2 linked regions of the Struthio camelus genome follow. The protein of the gene in region 1 binds, or shares a complex with, the protein of each later gene. Links are inferred from orthologs where the notes say so. Each region holds a gene or a part of one and is shown in the gene's direction. Other genes may lie near its edges. The genes, in order: PLXNC1 and SEMA7A.

What was found.
Region 2: the proteins of PLXNC1 (region 1) and SEMA7A are in contact, whole or in part, in a crystal structure (PDB 3NVQ), measured with the Homo sapiens proteins. The link is inferred for Struthio camelus from reciprocal best matches to the Homo sapiens genes PLXNC1 and SEMA7A. Residues at the interface, in NP_005752.1 of Homo sapiens: Arg131, Thr151, Glu152, Val153, Asn195, Pro196, Ala197, Ala198, Ser199, Asp200, His201, Thr203, Ala206, Lys208, Arg213, Ser214, Leu215, Ala216, Thr217, Gln218, Glu219, Leu220, Arg222, Lys224, Glu272, Ala350, Ser352, His353; in NP_003603.1 of Homo sapiens: Gln194, Tyr196, Asn197, Gly198, Lys199, Arg202, Arg204, Tyr213, Ser215, Asp216, Thr217, Gln270, Gly271, Gly272, Glu273, Ser274, Ser275, Leu276, Val278, Ser279, Lys280, Pro372, Thr375, Glu376, Phe378, Gln379, Asp382, Arg383.

Annotation. Positions count from the first base shown.
Region 1 is NC_090942.1:51,555,274-51,563,343, forward strand, and holds the start of PLXNC1 (plexin-C1), read left to right. Parts: upstream 1-4,832; 5' UTR 4,833-4,871; coding exon 4,872-5,828; intron 5,829-8,070.
Region 2 is NC_090953.1:23,590,303-23,598,249, forward strand, and holds the start of SEMA7A (semaphorin-7A), read left to right. Parts: upstream 1-4,833; 5' UTR 4,834-5,106; coding exon 5,107-5,218; intron 5,219-7,947. UniProt on the Homo sapiens protein: Plays an important role in integrin-mediated signaling and functions both in regulating cell migration and immune responses.

The DNA of each region.
Region 1 (8,070 bases):
GGATGCAAAGAGGGATGTGTCTTGTCCAGCATTATACAGGAAGGTTGTGGCACCAATTGTTGAAGAACCTAGATTTCCTGCTTGACGTAAAAACAACCGTCTCAGTGTTACTTTGCTTTAGACTATGAACATTTGCTGTGCAGAACCATATTTTTCCTTCATGTGTACCTTTTAATTCTTTCTCTGTACCCTTGCAACTATATTGGAAACTATCATATTTGAAAAGAAAGGAAACATAATGTGATTGAAAAAATGTGTTTTAGATAAACAATCATAGTGTCCTGACTTCTTATCCAAAATTTTATAGTATTTATATTTGGAGATAGGCTGAAAAATTCTTCTTTCTTTTCCTTCTCTCCTTCCTTCTTTCTTTTCTTTCTTTCTTCTTTCCTTTTTCTTTCTCTCTTTTCTTTCTTCCTCCTTCCTCCATCTTTCTTTTTTTTTGCTTTCTTCTTTCTTTCCTTCCTTTTTTCTGTTTTTCTTTTTCTTTTCATTCCTTCTTTCCTTTTCTTCTTTCCCTCTTTCTCTTTCTCTCCCTTAAATCCCCCATATAGAAAGTATTATGAATATTTTAATATAGTAATATGTGACTTTTTAACATAGTAAATATGTGACTTTTTGATGGTACATGCATGAATTCAGGTCACTGTCCTCTCCACTCAGTTACACTATTTGCAGACCTTCTGCAATTAATTGCTCATTTTTTGCAATGATTTGGATTTCCCCTTCAGGTTCACGAAAGAGCCTGTTCTTGACTCGGACATTTTCTTTGGCGGTAAAGACCTCCAAAAAAGAATGCAGAAGGGTCACTAACTTTTAGATTAGACAGTGTATAAAAACAAAACAAAAAAGTAAAACTACAATCCAAAACTGCAGACTGAGTTTCAGTATTCAAATGCACTTACACGACAAGGAAGGAAATCTTTCTCAGCATAGCTTCCTGAAAAAATGCCTAGCATTTTCTTTTTACTTAGTCGAGACTTAGTGACATTACAAAATTGACTTATCTGTACAATGAAAAAAGCAGCTATTCCAAGTGTTGCACTGAGGATAAAATGCATGTTAACAGTAATGCTACCTATCATTATCATTACGTTGTAAACAGAAGATTATTTACCCTGTGAGAAAAGACAAGTCAGAACCAAGCTAAGGTAACCGTTTACATTAAATAAACAAACAGACCAAACGTGAATTGGGCTCGGAGTTTCAAAACAGGGAAAATATCAAAGTTAAGCTAAATCTGAAATAAATTACACTTAAAAAATAAATCTCATTTGTTGACTAATATTTTGCCAGATTCTTTGTGGAGTCCTAAATGCTGAGAAATTTAGCATGCAAATGAGAAATAAGGAGGAGGGAAGTAGGTAGCTGAACAATAGTGGGAAAGGCAATCATAAGTTAATTCAGGATGTGTTCTGCCTAATATTGATGAAGATCTAAAAAGGAGCTCTTTACTCGCAGAGGTAAATCCAAGTTCAAATGGATTCAAATGAAACTCCTCCTAGCTCAAATTCTCATATTCAGATCTCATATGCCCCGCTGAAATAAACAAAGCTTGCTTCAGAAAGTGAAGGAAGTTGCATTTGGTTCCCTGGCTCTATTAGTAATTTGGTCAGAGTGCCAGCAATGTTTTGTGACGTGCAACATGAATAGGCAGACTCTCCTGTTTGCCATTTCTACAGTGCCTAAAAAGTAAAACATAATGCAACTATAGCATAAAAGTACCAAATATGGAACTGATGACCAAGAGAATACAGTAAGATGTCTGTCATTTCATGCTTCACTTTTATAAGAATACCATTAATTGACTGCACTGTTTTCTGCTCTTCTGTATTAATAGCAAATATTAAAATCAGCAAAGTTACAAAAGAAACCTGTAGAAGAAACTTTGTTTCCTATTTCCATAACTTCTCTGTGGAAGCTCAATTCTACTTGTAACCTGTCAGGTATCTCTGGAGGGATAGACTGAACACGTGCACTACTATTTATTTCAGGGACTGGGAAAGGAATTGAGAACACTGCCACTTGAGGAACTGGGCCAACCATGAATAATCCTCAGTTCAAAGCTGCTTCAGTGGCTCTCAGGAGCGTACGCAGAATTAACTTTTGCAAGATGAGGACCTGGTCCTAGCTATTGCTTCCCCGGAAAGGGTAGAGGAGGAAAGAATAGAAACAGAAAAGCGATGCAGGCAGGGAAGAGACTGAGTAGCGGGCTCTGACTGCTCTCTGGGGGCAGGAAGAGGGCAGCCTCCTGTCTTGCCTTGGTAGTGCCTGGTACTCCACATGACTAGACCGTTTTCTAATGGCTGTAACCAGTCTAGCTTTTCAGGGTCCTAGAATAAGCAACATTTGAGGCAGAACATCGCTGTTTCGGCAGTCTGAGGAGCCTGCAGCCTTAGGAGATGTCGCTGTTCTCTAAGACTAAAATAAGCCTGGCCTCACCACTTAACCAAATTAGTCATTAGGTGAAGCACGTGGCATATTTCAAACATAAACCCACAGAAACAAGCAATCTGGCCAGTCCTGAAAGCCAACAAATGCAGAGGTTGGTGATTTCACAAGAGGAGCAACTTCCTCAGAAGCTGACCTGTTGCTAGACGTGCTCTGTGGTCAGTACCAAAGATGTCTTGCAGATGGGCGTCTGTCCATTCATGTTCCCAGTCAGCCTCGTAGGTTGCAGGCAAAACACAGATCACTCAGAACTTTACATTTGCACTGAAAAGCAACCAGAAGTCAAGGTATGCACTCCAGCGTGACACGTTCAGCTTCCTCCGCAATGCTGTATAAACTGTGTTTTTGTACGCAGTCTATGTTGGTGATATCGGCATGACGATTTACTTTGCTTATGGGTTGACAAAGTTCAGTAGCGTGCAGGAAGCTACAGGCAGCGTGCATGAGCAGGTAGAGCCTCCCTCCTTGTGCATCTGGTGAGAAAAAAAAATTGCATAATGATTCCTTTCCACATCCTCTGCTACATTTTGCAGATCTTGGACACATTTTGGAGTGACTGTCCATGAGATAAGTAGACGAGTTGCAGGAGGTTCTGAATTTGACAGTGGTATGTGTCCTAGCCCGATTGCTGCAAGATGGAAAAATACTTTTGCTGACCAGAGCAGAAGTAATTCTTGCACAATAGCTGCTGCTGGGTACAGTAATGGAGAAAGATAAGATAATTTTGCTAACTGCACTGTACTTCCTACTTGAAAATATTAGGCTTGACTCCTTTGTACAGGGACTACTTTTGTTCTAGTTTTTACAGCTCCACTTATTCACACTGCAAAGCCACTTAGAGATAAGAGTGGTGTAAAGGGATGGTCAGTGTTAGGAAAAGCAGCCTCTCAGTTCCAAATATTATGTCCTTTTCTCGGTAAAGCTGGCAGTGGGCCCTGTGCCCATCCTCACCCAGAGTTTCCAGAAACACCCAGCAGAGGACATTAAAATGTCTCCTGGTTATCTTGCATAATCACATCTTTACTTTAAGCCCAGCGAGAAAAAATTATTTACTGTTAGCTGGGCATGCAGTATATACATCCGGTTTTGTTGAGTCTGTACCAGAAATAACTTAGCAGGACAGTAAATCAGTTGTGCCATTCAACACACCGAATCCCATCCCCGAACGTTTGAACAGAGTCCATCTTGCGGAAGCACAGCTGGAGAAAACAGGGCTTTTCATGTGTCATGCAATCGCTAAAGAGAAAACGTAGACTCTTTTGTTTTACCTCAGAGAAGACTGTAGGGTTTTAAACAGAGATCTGACATCAAACTCCATCCCCACACGGCGACGGGGACTGATGGGGTTACAACTGGTTTCTGTTCCTGACATCCTTCAAAGCGAGTGACTAAAAATACGATGGCGTGCGTGCGTGAGGTGTAATTTAGCAGGATGGTTATGCAGAGCGTTTGAATAGATAACCCAGTTTCAAAGCTTGCGCCTGCTCGTACCCCGCCGCGTACGGGGACAGGCGGCATGAGGGTCCACCAGAGACCCACCTCCCACAAGTACCTTCCAGCCAGCCACGAACCAGGCCAGAGGGGCTGCAACAGTCTATCTTCACCCAACCATCCCCCCACCAAACTTCCAAAATCACAATTCCCCTTTCGCACGGTGGTAGATACGTGGCCGGGGGGGGGGGGGGCCACGCTCGCTGAAGGCAGGGACCAAACAGGCTGGCCGGGGGCCACCGTTTTCACCCAGGAGGGACGAGGGCCCGGGCGCCGCGTCCCTGGGGGATGCCGTGTCCCTTGGGGCGGCGGGCCAGGGCGCAGGGGACGGGCCGTGGGGGGACCACGGGCCGCACTGGGGGCACGGCGGCCGGGCGAGGCGCGGCGCGGCGGCCACCTGAGCCGCGGCGGCCCACCAGAGGCGTGGCGGCCGCCTGAGGTGAGACGGCCCACGGCGAGGCGAGGCGAGGCGCGGCGGCCGCCTCGCCTCAGGTGGCCAGGGCGGGCGCGGGGCAGCGACGCGCCGGGGGCCGCCCCGGCCGGCCGGTCCCGCCGCCTGAGGGGCGCCCCCGGCCGCCGCCGCCGCCGCCGAGGGGCTGGGCGGGGGGTGCGCGGGGGGCGGCGGGCAGGGCCGCGGCGGCCCTGGCGGAGGAGCCCGGCCCACCGCTCCCGCACAGGCACCCCCCTTCCCTTCCCTTCCCCGCCCCGAAAGAGGAACTCCCCGCCCGCGCACACACGCCGGCCGCGGCGGAGGAAGCGGCGGCAGCGGCGGCAGCAGCGCGGCGGCCCCGGGGGCGCAGCATGGCGCAGCGGCAAGGGCGGCAGCAGCAGCGGCAGCAGCAGCAGCAGCAGCAGCAGCAGCGCCCGCCGCCCGCCGCCGCCGCCGCCGCCTGAGGGACCCCCCGCGGCGCCGAGCGGAGCCCGCGCCCATGGCGGCGCCGCCGCCCGGCCTCAGCTGGGCGCTGCCGCTGCTGGCGGCGCTGGCGGGCGCCGGCGCGGCCGCTGCGCAGGTCTTCGAGCTGCCGGGGGCGGCCATCGACAACATCGAGGTGAGCCGCGGCGGCGTGCTGGTGGCGGGCGGCAGCTGCCTCTACGAGCTGCGGCCCTCGCTGCGGCTGCCGCGCCGCGTGGTGCCGCCGGCGGCGGCGCAGGGCTGCGCGGAGCCGCCCGGGGTGCGCAGCAAGCTGCTGCTGCCCTACGAGGAGGCGGCGGGCGGCGGCGTGCTGCTGGCCGGCTGGACGCAGGCGGAGGGCAGCTGCCAGGTGTGGGAGCGCCCGGCCTACCGGCAGCGCTTCAACCGCAGCGAGGTGGTGAGCTGCCTGCCCGGCGGCTCCACCGCCGGCGTGGTCTTCGAGCTGGCCGGTACCTGGTACCTGGCGGTGGCGGCCACCTACTCGGAGGGTAACGCCGACACCCGGCTGGGCTGCGAGCCGGCCCGCTCGGACGCCACCACCGCCATCACGGTGCGCCGGACGGACAGCCTGCTGTCCAGCGAGGAGCTGGCCGTCATCAAGTACAAGGAGGACCCTCTGCACTTCGTGGACGCGCTCCGCTGGGAGAGTCGCCTCTTCTTCCCCTACTACAAGTTGCGGGCCACGCTGGGCAAGGATGGGGAGCGGCCGAGCATGGCTGTGCTGCGCCAGCTGCGGCCCTCGGAAGGTGCCTTTACTTTGCAAGGCCAGGTGTATCTGGACTGCGGCTGCAGGAGCCTCATCGTCTCCTCCAGCCTCGTCCGCCAGGGAGCGGAGGGCTGGTGGGTGGGTGTTTTCCGCCACAGCCACAGCGCGAAGGCCTGGAACAGCACCGCCGTCTGCATCTTCGGGATGGAGGAGATGAGCGAGCAAGCCTGCGTGTCCACGCACTTCCTCGGGGACGGGAACCTTTGTGTAAGTCGTGGCGCCGCTCTTGTTAAGCTTTATCCCTTCAGACCGTGGTTGTCACTGTTGTTGTCGTTGCCGCTGCTTGTGCGTAACTCCATGGGGTGTCCCCCGCTGACGGACCTGAAGGCCCGTGAAGTTCACAGGAGCTTCTGAGCTGGGCCAGGCTTTGCGCATCAGCTGTGGCTCCGTCAGCCCTCAAGTTTTCTCTAGGGCTTTCTCTTTCTAAAGAGCTGATCCCCCTAACGGGTCCTTGCAGCCTGTCTGATGGGTAGTCCCCTTCCCAGTTATGTTCCAGGGAAGGCATGGCGGAGGGGGTACCTGACAGCGCTCTGGGTCAGGCAAGAGTCTCAGGCTTCTCGGGCGTGCACCCTTTTGCTGCCAAGGATTAGTTATATTTCACTGTATTTTCTGTGGAGCCTACATAAAGCATTTCCTACCTTGTTCTGTGCATTCACATCTCCTGTCATTGCAGCTGCATCAGAAGTGAAAAAAAGCCCGTCAAAGTGACTCCCGTGCACTGGGCTGCGTGCATTGTTATGCCTGTTGCTCACTAGTTATTTATGATCGCTTATGCAGTGGCGGGTGTTTTCCATATGTCCCAGGATTGCCCCTGCTCAAGAGGGCTCACAAAACCCACCCAAACATGTATACACAGCAGACAACCCTTGGCAAGATCTCTTTGCTGTTGCGGTGGTTACATTTTTAAGGCAGTGGTATCCCATGGAGATCCCCTGGTCGCCCACTTCTGCAACACTGTCTCTTCAGCTCCTTCATCCTTTTAGAGTCAGCTATGCATGGGGAGGGCAGGGTGGGCAAGGCTTCCAGGTTTGCTGTGGCCTTGGCAACTAGTGAAAAAAACAGCTAAAAATGTGAATCAAGACAAGAAGCTGCTTTTGCAAGGCCCTTCCATGCTTTTAAAAGTCACACCCCTCAGAAGTCTTTTCAGTTCTGTAGCAAAGGAACAATGCTGAAATGCTATAGTTCTCAGGGAGGACTATAGGGGATCAAGCCTTCATAAAGAAAGCTCTGACCTTTTGCAGCTCCCCCACCATCCACAGACTTTGCAGCTTAAGCCCTCAATTCTTCCTCTGTTATGACAGGAATTTGTTGTAAACTCCTTGAAAGAAGTCTTGTAGATTTGCCATCGCTCCTTGACTTCCAAAATCTAGCAGAGCTCAGTGCTTGAGATTTCTTGCAAACAAAAGCTACCAGGGGGCACATGCAATTCAGTAGGGAAATGCACAGATTGAATCATAAGACCGTTACTGGTGTTTAAGGACCATAATTATGAACGAGAACCCCATATGTGGGTGAAACAACTGTGCTGAAGCCAATACCAAAACACTTACTCATTTCAACAGAGCCAGAACCAAATCCTTGGATTTGCAATGCCAGTTTGTAACTTACTGCGTGATTTCTATGCTGTCATGTAGCAAAATTACTGAATGAAGTTAAAGTCTCCTCTCATCCCAAAATACACATATGCAGTTTGGATTTTGAATTTGTATTCTTTGTTTTCAATTACTCGTGGATTTTCTTCCCTGGAAAACAAAGGTGCTTTCTGAGCCTGCAAAAGCAAAAAAGAAATGTCTCCGAGCAGCAGATCCTTAATAAATACATTTCAAAGCCCAATGTTAGAAATTCCAGATGAGTCTTTCGGAATGTATAGGGTATGGTAATGACAGATATTTCTGTTCCGATCTGTGTTTTTCTGAATCCCCTATCTCCATTGTACCCAGGTGTCTCAGTATGGAAAGCCAATGTTCTTCTTGCTTAAGGATTGGTCTGATTTAGCTCAAACTCCTATTATCCCAAAGTTACAAAGCTTGTCCCTCCTGGAAATGTCAGCTGTATTTGGCCATAACACTGAAGACTCTCAACATTTAAAATGTTTGAAATGACTGCTTAATATTGTGTCCCTAACTATAATGATGTAGTTAATCACGATACTCTTGCAATGATAAATACAGCTTATTACTCACAATAGTATGGTATTTAGTATTTTTTGAGATAGCAGACATCAGAGAGTTGGGCAGTAATATGACTTGCAGTATTACATGGCAAATGATACTCCCTTTTTAAGGTAATTATATGTGCTTGTGGTGTATAAACATAGAAACAAATGCAAGTTTTTCAGCTTTAATATGAATTTTTTTAGTACAGAAGGTTAGACTAGGCTAACGCAGAATAAGTTTAGAGATGCCAGGTCCATATGCTGCTGTTTCTGAGTTGATTTAATCCATATCTT
Region 2 (7,947 bases), on another chromosome or scaffold:
CAGAGGCCAAGATAGGAAGGAGTATCAGGAGATATAACATTTTTTAGACGTCTCTCCCTTCCTGGCGGGACAGATATCAACGCTAGAAGTATTTTAACACTACAAGGTCAACTGATTATCTTTACGGGAGTTTACTTTCCTCAGCAGCCTACGCTTACCTTACGTGCCTGGCCAGCTTATGAGTTTCTTCTGACGGTTTTCTCAACGATAGTTTGAAGTGGCTCCCTGGGGACCAGGGGATTTGCACTGATTTCTCAGAGGAAAACATGGACTTAGACTCTAGCTCCTATTTATGGCAGGGAACTGGGGAGCCGATTGTGGAGGCTGCACCTTAACTTGTGCATTACCAGGAGGACTTTGTGGATCTAATGGAGCTGATAATGCTGATATGCTGAAGCATAGCTGCTTTGCAGCATGTGGCAGTGCTGCCCTGAAAGCCAGGCCTGCTAGGGAGCAGAGAGGAGCATAGCAGCTGGGAAACACCGAGCGTTTCAGGTGAGCAACACCGTTTGGGCCCTCAGGAAAACGGAGCTGACGCACTGTGCAATGTTAACGTATCAGTATGCAGCTCTGTGTGGCAGATCGATCTCAACAAAGCAACGTGCTTCTTCGTTTTAATTTTCTTTGAAACGGGGAGAGCTGTGCGTTGCACTTGCTTTACTCTGTGTAAAGCCTTTGGGATCTGCGCCAAGGGGTGCTCAAGCTCCTGGCAGGCCATGTGGCAGAGGTGTACAGCTCACTGTTTTGCCTCCTCGCTGTTGACAGCGTCGCTTGCTAATGTGAGAGTACTAACAAGACCCTTGATCATCTGAGATGTGCTAACTTTTTCCTGGCGAACATCCTCAGTCCTTTATGCTATGCCCCAAAAGGTCCCTCTTTGGTACTTTCCTGAAGCTGCCATGGCTGATAACAGCCAGAGATCAAGCTCCACTTGTCATGTTTCTGGAAGAGCTGGCGCACCAGTGAATAGATCTTGCCTGGCTTTCACAGGGAGAAGAATGTTTAAATTTTAGGGATGTTTGTGCTTCTTTCTGTTGATGATGAAATTTTCCAGGGAAAATACGCCTGTGTCCAAATCCATAATATCTAGTCGGTATTTCTTGACACGTTCCTGGTCTGGTGGGAGGTTAGTAGATAATGATTACTATGCTCTTGAGTGGTGTTCCAACATACCTGCCATTCTCTAACGGGCCTGAAACGATGCCCGTAAAAACAGTGGAGGTTTCGTTACAGGCTGCTGGAATGTTTATGTCCTAGGGATCTTCTCTGCTTTTGTAAATAAAACTGAGCATTCTTGTTGGGAAAATCTGTGCTTTATGATTTTGAGGTACTTTGGGGGAAGCTGAGTTCTTATCCGTTTTGCAGCTGAATAGTGCAATCTGAATGAAACTGCACCTGATTTGTACTTTGGCAATTCTAATCCCTGAGCGAACCTGACAGAAACCTCCGCTTTCAGGAGGGGCTGAAAGAGAAGAATGTGCGTGCCTGCAATCTGATCTCTTGTTTGTGCATTCCTTGTTCAGTACCACAACATCTGACTGAGGTCATTTAGAGGAGGTCCTGAGCAAACAAACTCTCCCAGAAACTCTTTGAGTTATTGGGAAGTATGCGTGCGTGTACTTAATGCCCAGTCATTTTTTGGTTGAGTGTTGCTGTATTCAGGGCACAGTTCCACATCTAGCACTTTGTGCACGCTGACATAGGGTTGGAACAAAGCTGATAAAGAAGACTTGAAATCAGCTCCGTACTCCTTGCCTCCTAAGTCTGCAAGCTGAGCTGGCTCCTTGATCAAATCTCATAACACAGCATTACGCTCTGCGGCTATATGCCTCTGCATACACAGGGTGCCCTGCCCCTTCCGGGCAGCTGGGTGTCAAGGAGTGGCTGTTTTCCCAGGTCATTGCCCAGTGTGTGTGTGGGCAGTCCCTTGACTCCCAGATCTTATCCAAACTGTAGGTCACCTCAAGCAAATGAGGAGAAACTGGGTTGATGAAGGGGGCTGGATGCACAGTCCTGTGCAGTGCCTTGGGGTCTCTCTGTCAGGCTCACCCTGGCTGATTGCAATCATGCTGCTGCACTGAAGCAACTTGCAGGGAGGAGTAGGGACGCTAAGGGGAGCTATAGCTTCTGGGTGGCGCAGAAGACTTTTTGGGCGAGAGCTCAGTTTTAGTGAAGACTCTTCATTTGAAGAGTTGTAATTAGCTTTTTGGGTCCATGTTTTTCCCTTCTGCTGTAGTCTCCTTTGCTGGTGATTGTTCTGCAGAGATCTCAGAGCAGCTTTGTACTGAACTGCATGATCTCCTGTAGCCAAGGACCTGGGACAACTGCTGGGGCTGTCAGCTTTGAGTTTGGAACTGGCCTTGGACTCCAATCTCTAGTTTGCTCCAAGACCTTTTTTCTCCTACAGATTTGTCAGCCTTCCCCTGTCCCCAGGCATGAAACCATCATTTGGGGTCCTGTGATGGGGAAGGTCTACCCAGCAAAGAGGTGAGATACAGTACAGAGATGCCACGCGACACAGTGATACCCAGCAAGCTGTTTGCTAAGCCTTTTGCTTAGCAAGCCCTACAGCATCAGTATGAGTCCAGGGGTGCAATACAGTCCTGTTCATGGGGTGGTTCAGCTGGTGGCCTAGGAAACAGAGGACAGTGATATCAGATGTGTTGAACTAGAAGCAGCTCAGAGCTGAACACTTCTAAACTCTCGGGAGAATTTGAAGCTGAATTTTATGCATAGGGGGCATTGTCTTCAAGTGTAGATGGGGAAAAAACCCAAAAGCCAGCCCCACAGAGTACCAGGGTGTGTCAATTAACAGCAAAGAAAGGGAGAAAGAAAAGGATTTACTATTGTCACAGGGCAGAAGCTCTCCTAGTTCCTCTCTGAACAGAACCCATCTGTGTTATGAGTTGGTAACTTTGTTGAGAAGGGGATCTGCGAGCCAGCGTGCAGGAAGACGGCCACCGGATCGGCTGGGTGGTTCCCAGGCACAGATCTATGAGTGGGGCTGTGACGTGAACACAGTGCCTCTGATGCTGTAGGGAGGCACAGGGCCCCTGCACCCCCTTCCCCAGGTAGTCTGTCCACACACATGGGTCATGTCTTACCAGACGCACTGGCGAATGGTCCTATCTAGTAGTTCTGGTCAGGCTGTTACGGGGCCGGAAATATTACATGAACATAGAAAATCCTCATATCTTCCCCATGAATGTTTCCTAAGGGGAAGAAGGGCGGCCTGGGGAGGTCTGGAGGAACAGCAGGTCCTCAAGGGAGAAAGAGCTTTTCAAACAGATGCTTGCAGACTTATTCTCGTTTGTCTTCTACGTTTGGACTCAACTGGATTGACAATAAAGAACAGGGAAGGGATTAAAAATAGTCGGCTGTATGCACGTCTTCTTACAGCATCACACAGTTGTGAAGTTGCCCTGTTCAGCTGGATTGAGGCTGTGCCTTTCTCTGTCCATCCTGGGGTTTAAATGAAATGTCATCAGAAAGGTCCCTGCTCCACCAGTTTTCTTTGATCTTTCCCATTGATGCAGGCCTGGCTGTGGTCTTGCTGGTACAGACTGCCAGTGATGCTAGTCCTATTTGGATGGTGACTTAGTGCTGTAAAATTGTAGTTATATGAGCCACATGAAAGAAAAACCACATCAGGTCATAAAAGACAAAGCAGGTAGTAATGTATGCAATGTCCATTTACGTAGCCCAAATTTTGGTGGATGCAAATTGTTAAGTTGTCATGTTTATTAAGGAGCACATGTGGGTTGTTTGGCTTAGGCTGTTGATTTGCAAATGGTGCCCTCCTGTTTCTTTTTCACTCCTGACTGTGTGAAAGAGCCTTAATGAATTGCACACGCGTTTTCCAGCAAGCCTTTTCTGACTTGTGCTGCAAGAAAGCAAGGGGCAATGGGGTTGAGTACCTCCTGGATCAGTGGGGCTGGTGGAGAAATGCAGTAACCTCTGGGGTGAAATGGACAGTTGCTTAAAGGTGAACAGTAATGCAGAACGCTTCGAGGCTAATCTGGGAATCACCATGTCCAAAAGTGGAAAACCAGAGATGATCTGTATGTTGTCATACTGTAATTACCCAAATGGCTATTTGGTTAAGATGAGAGAGAGAAACCCCACGCTTAGAGTTAGTGGGAAATTCCTTTGGGTCCTTAAAACTGACAATTAGCTGGCTCATTAATATTTTGCTTCCTCCGAAATGTCCCCTTGAACTGCCACTGTTCATCTCCTTCAGGAGCGGAGCAGTCTCGGCTCTAGCTTCAGCACTGACTTTAAAGAGAGTGCAGCTGCATCTCTCATGTCCTTGTGCGTTCTCCGTGGGGCTCTCCTATTCCGGTCACGTCCGACCTCGCTTTCCTTGCACGTAATGCCCTGCTCTTCTCATTAACAAATCTCTCAGCACTTCACAAAGACTGTCAGCCCTTGCTGGCCTCCTAATGGGGAATGGAGGTCTGGCAAAGTGAAGCGACTTTCCAAAGGTCGCACCACAGACCTGGTAGCAGGCCAGTCCCATGGGCCAGGGTGCTGCGCCCTGCTAAGCATCTTGTCATTTCAGAGAGCATTAGCATGACAAAAGTCAGTGTGAGATCTTATGGAACAGGATATTTATTCACCACACCTCTACGTAAACAGATTTTATACATTCATGCTCTAATTTCGTTTACTCTCATGCTCACAAGCCTATGACACACGTGAGACCCGTGTTTGAGTGGTCTGGCTAGGATCGCTGTTGGGCGACACGGAGGACGAGGGACACCGGCGGTTGAGTCCTCATCACGTCTCTGGTGGTGTTCTTGACTTGTGATGACGAATGAGTTTTGGGATAAATCTTTTGTGTTGTTAGGAGTGGCCCTTTGCTATGATCTTCTTGTAGCGCTAGCAGGGAGAAGGCTGGCGCCTGAGCTATGCTGCAGCCTTGCTGCCAGGAGTTTCCCATTAGCGAGCTCTCCCTGCTGGGCTGTTAGCAATGTGCAGCAGCCCTTCTGGAGAAGAAAGCCCTTAGTCCCTCCTTCGTTGCACTCATTGGCTGATCTGGGTTGCATCCGCTCATAAGAAATGCCGCTCTCAGGCTCCTGATCTCTGCTCCCAGAATAAGTAGAAATGGGCAGAAGGACCCCGGTTGTCCTCTTGGTGGCCCTGTGGGCCAGCCAGCTGGGTCTGTGGGTGGCGGGGCGCTCCAAGGTGAACCCCAGGATCATCACGGCTCCCCGAGGTAGGTCCCGGCGAGCGAGCGGCCGCGGGAAGCAGAGCGCTCTCTTGAGACGTGCCCGCGGCTGACAGCGATTCCCTGCTGCCGCGCGATGCGTTTTCTCCTCGTTTTGTGTCTTTCGAGTGGGTCCTTTCTTTTTTTTCTTTCTTTCTTTTGTCTCTTTGGGGAGACTTCTGGCTCTCATTTTAAATGAGCCAAGATGCCTGTGGTCTCAGAAGGGTTTTTAACCTCCTTGATTTTTCTTTTAAATTGAGTTTTTAGATCTCTTGCCTTGACAAGTCCTTTCCCCCTGTATATTCTGAAAGCGCTTTTCCCCCAGGCCGGGTATATTAAACTGTTGATCCCCCCCCCCTGTCCTGGGACAGGCACAATAACCATTTCTTCTAGCTCACAGGGAGAAATGAAGAAGTATATTTGCATGACACAGTTAATTTTCTTATTAATCTGATGTGCTTGCCCTCTTAGTTGCAAATGAGTTGCGCTCTTAAATATTTGCAGATGATCTCTGTATGAAAATACATATGACTGAAAGAGCTTGTGATCAGCCACGGTCTTACTGGAAACAGAACAAAGAGCAGTTTTCAAGGAGGAAGTGTATACCCTGCGATTGCCGAGAGCTCAGCCCGAGATACGGGTGTTCGAGAGAGAATTCACTAGTTTTATCATGTGTCTTCCAAGCTCGTGGATTAATACCCTCCAGGGAGGGTTTAACAAAAGACCTTGTCTTGTCCCCAGCGGTTATGGTGTTTGTCTAACCCGACGGCTCAGCCGGGCTGTAGATCTCGCGCCGCTCTGCAGTACAACAGCCCCTCTGTGTTTTCCATTTGCCGAGAACTTCAGAGGATGGGAATTTTCAGTGGTTTATTCAGCGCCATCTGTTATTCTTCGGCCAGGAGCTCTTTCAGCCCGGTTGCTCCTGGAAGGGAAGGCCAGAAGCGCGGGGAAGGGCTCGGGGCACGTGGCCGGGAGGTGGTTCCTGCCTGACGGGCGCCCGAAGGGGAGAGGGCAGCGGCGGGTTGCTCGTAGCCTTGCGTCGTTTGCTTTAGCTTCTGGCAAATTAAGCAGCTCGGCTGCTGCTCCGACAACGGTACGGAAGCGGGGGGAGAAAACGCACCACGAGACTGAGCAGAGCCGCGGCCGTGGGGCTCCTGCCTTTCTCGGCAGAATTTTTCCCCTGACGTGTTTAGGAGAGAGGGAAAAACAAAAAAAAAAAAGTTGACTTGCGTACATCTGGCACGGACGGAAACCTCTGTCCTAGGGTAAAGCGGTGGTGAGGCGGAAGAGCAGGCTCCTGGGGTTGGGTTTGCATGACACCTGTTTCTGCGAGCGCTCGGCCTCGGCACGGGCGCAGAACGTAGCCGTTTGACCCGTCTGTGTCGGATGGTGGCTTTCCTGGCATTAAACGCGGTGAGGATCTGCCACCGAGAAATACCAAAGCCAATTAGTGTTAGGACAGTTCCCTGCAAAGGGATCAGCTTATGCTTATCTCTGTTTCTTCTGTTTCTCTCTCTTTCTGTTTTTTGGTTTTTTGTTTTTTAGTTTTTTTTTTTTTTAAAGCGTAGCTGGGACACAGGCCCAAAGGGATTTCAGTTAGGGCATTAGTAGAGGCAAATATGTGCTGTACTCTGTTATGAGTCAGTCATGCTTCCTATTTAACAGATTGCGTTTTGCTCCATGTAACCTCTGTCCTTTAGAAAATGGGTCCTCACCGAACGAGGAGGAGGGTGGACTAGGATGGCGCGTGGTGGTGGGAGGAGAGGAAGTACCCCTGGAGAAGGGCAAAGAAATAGGACAGAGGGAGAAGGGATGCGATGGGTGGCAGAAAGCCCTTCCCTAATGCTCCAGACATAGCAAAAGGCAAGTACAGTATCTTTAATATAGATAACTTGCAAGTCGGCATGTTGCTGCTTGCTTGCGTCCATCTTGTGTAGAGGCTGGACCCTCGCCGTGGGGTGATGGTGTTGCAGGGCTTGGTTTCCAGGTTGAATCCTGGTCCCAGAGGCTGGGAACTGGACAGAAGAGCAGCAGCTGGGCTCCTAGCTGTGGCCACCTGCGTGGCCGCTAATGCCAGAGCAGGCGGGAGGCTGGCCCTGGGACAGCCCGGCTGCCTGCAAGGTTGCTAGTTCAAATCCAGCCTTGAGGCATCACTCCCCTTGAGGGACCTTTTGTGCTCTGCCCGCCACGAAGGGCTGGGGGTTGTCCTAGGCCAAGTTCATTGCGTTCCTGCCACGCTGGCGTGCCGAGCGATGGTGCGGCACTGGCTTCAGCCCGGGGTTCTGCAGGAGCTGGCAGCTCTTCACCTAATTAATTTTCTTATGTGCCACAGCTCATCGCTAGAACGAGGCAGGGCAGCCTCTGCAAAGGCACCTAGAGGCGTTACAGCCCTGGAGACGAGCAGAGAAATTCCCTCCTGGCACTGGCCTGAGCCCCGTTTTCCCTGGAAGAGAAGAGCACGTGTGCGTCTGTGTGTCCGGGGTCCCTCCCCGGGCTGCAGCCCTTGGGGAGAGAGGAGGAAATCGGCACGAGCCAAAGCTGTTGCTGCAGCCACCCTTTGAGCGCGCAGCCACTGCGTCCTCCCCTCTCCAGCATGCCTCCCGATCTGGGAGGAGAGCCCGCGGCCGGAGGCCTTAACTACTCTGGGGCTTTACCCCGCCGTCCCTAGCTGTCTGGTTTCCTTAGCAAGAAATAGGTTAGGTGAGACCCTCAGCCGCCAGCAGAAAACGATGTTGCTG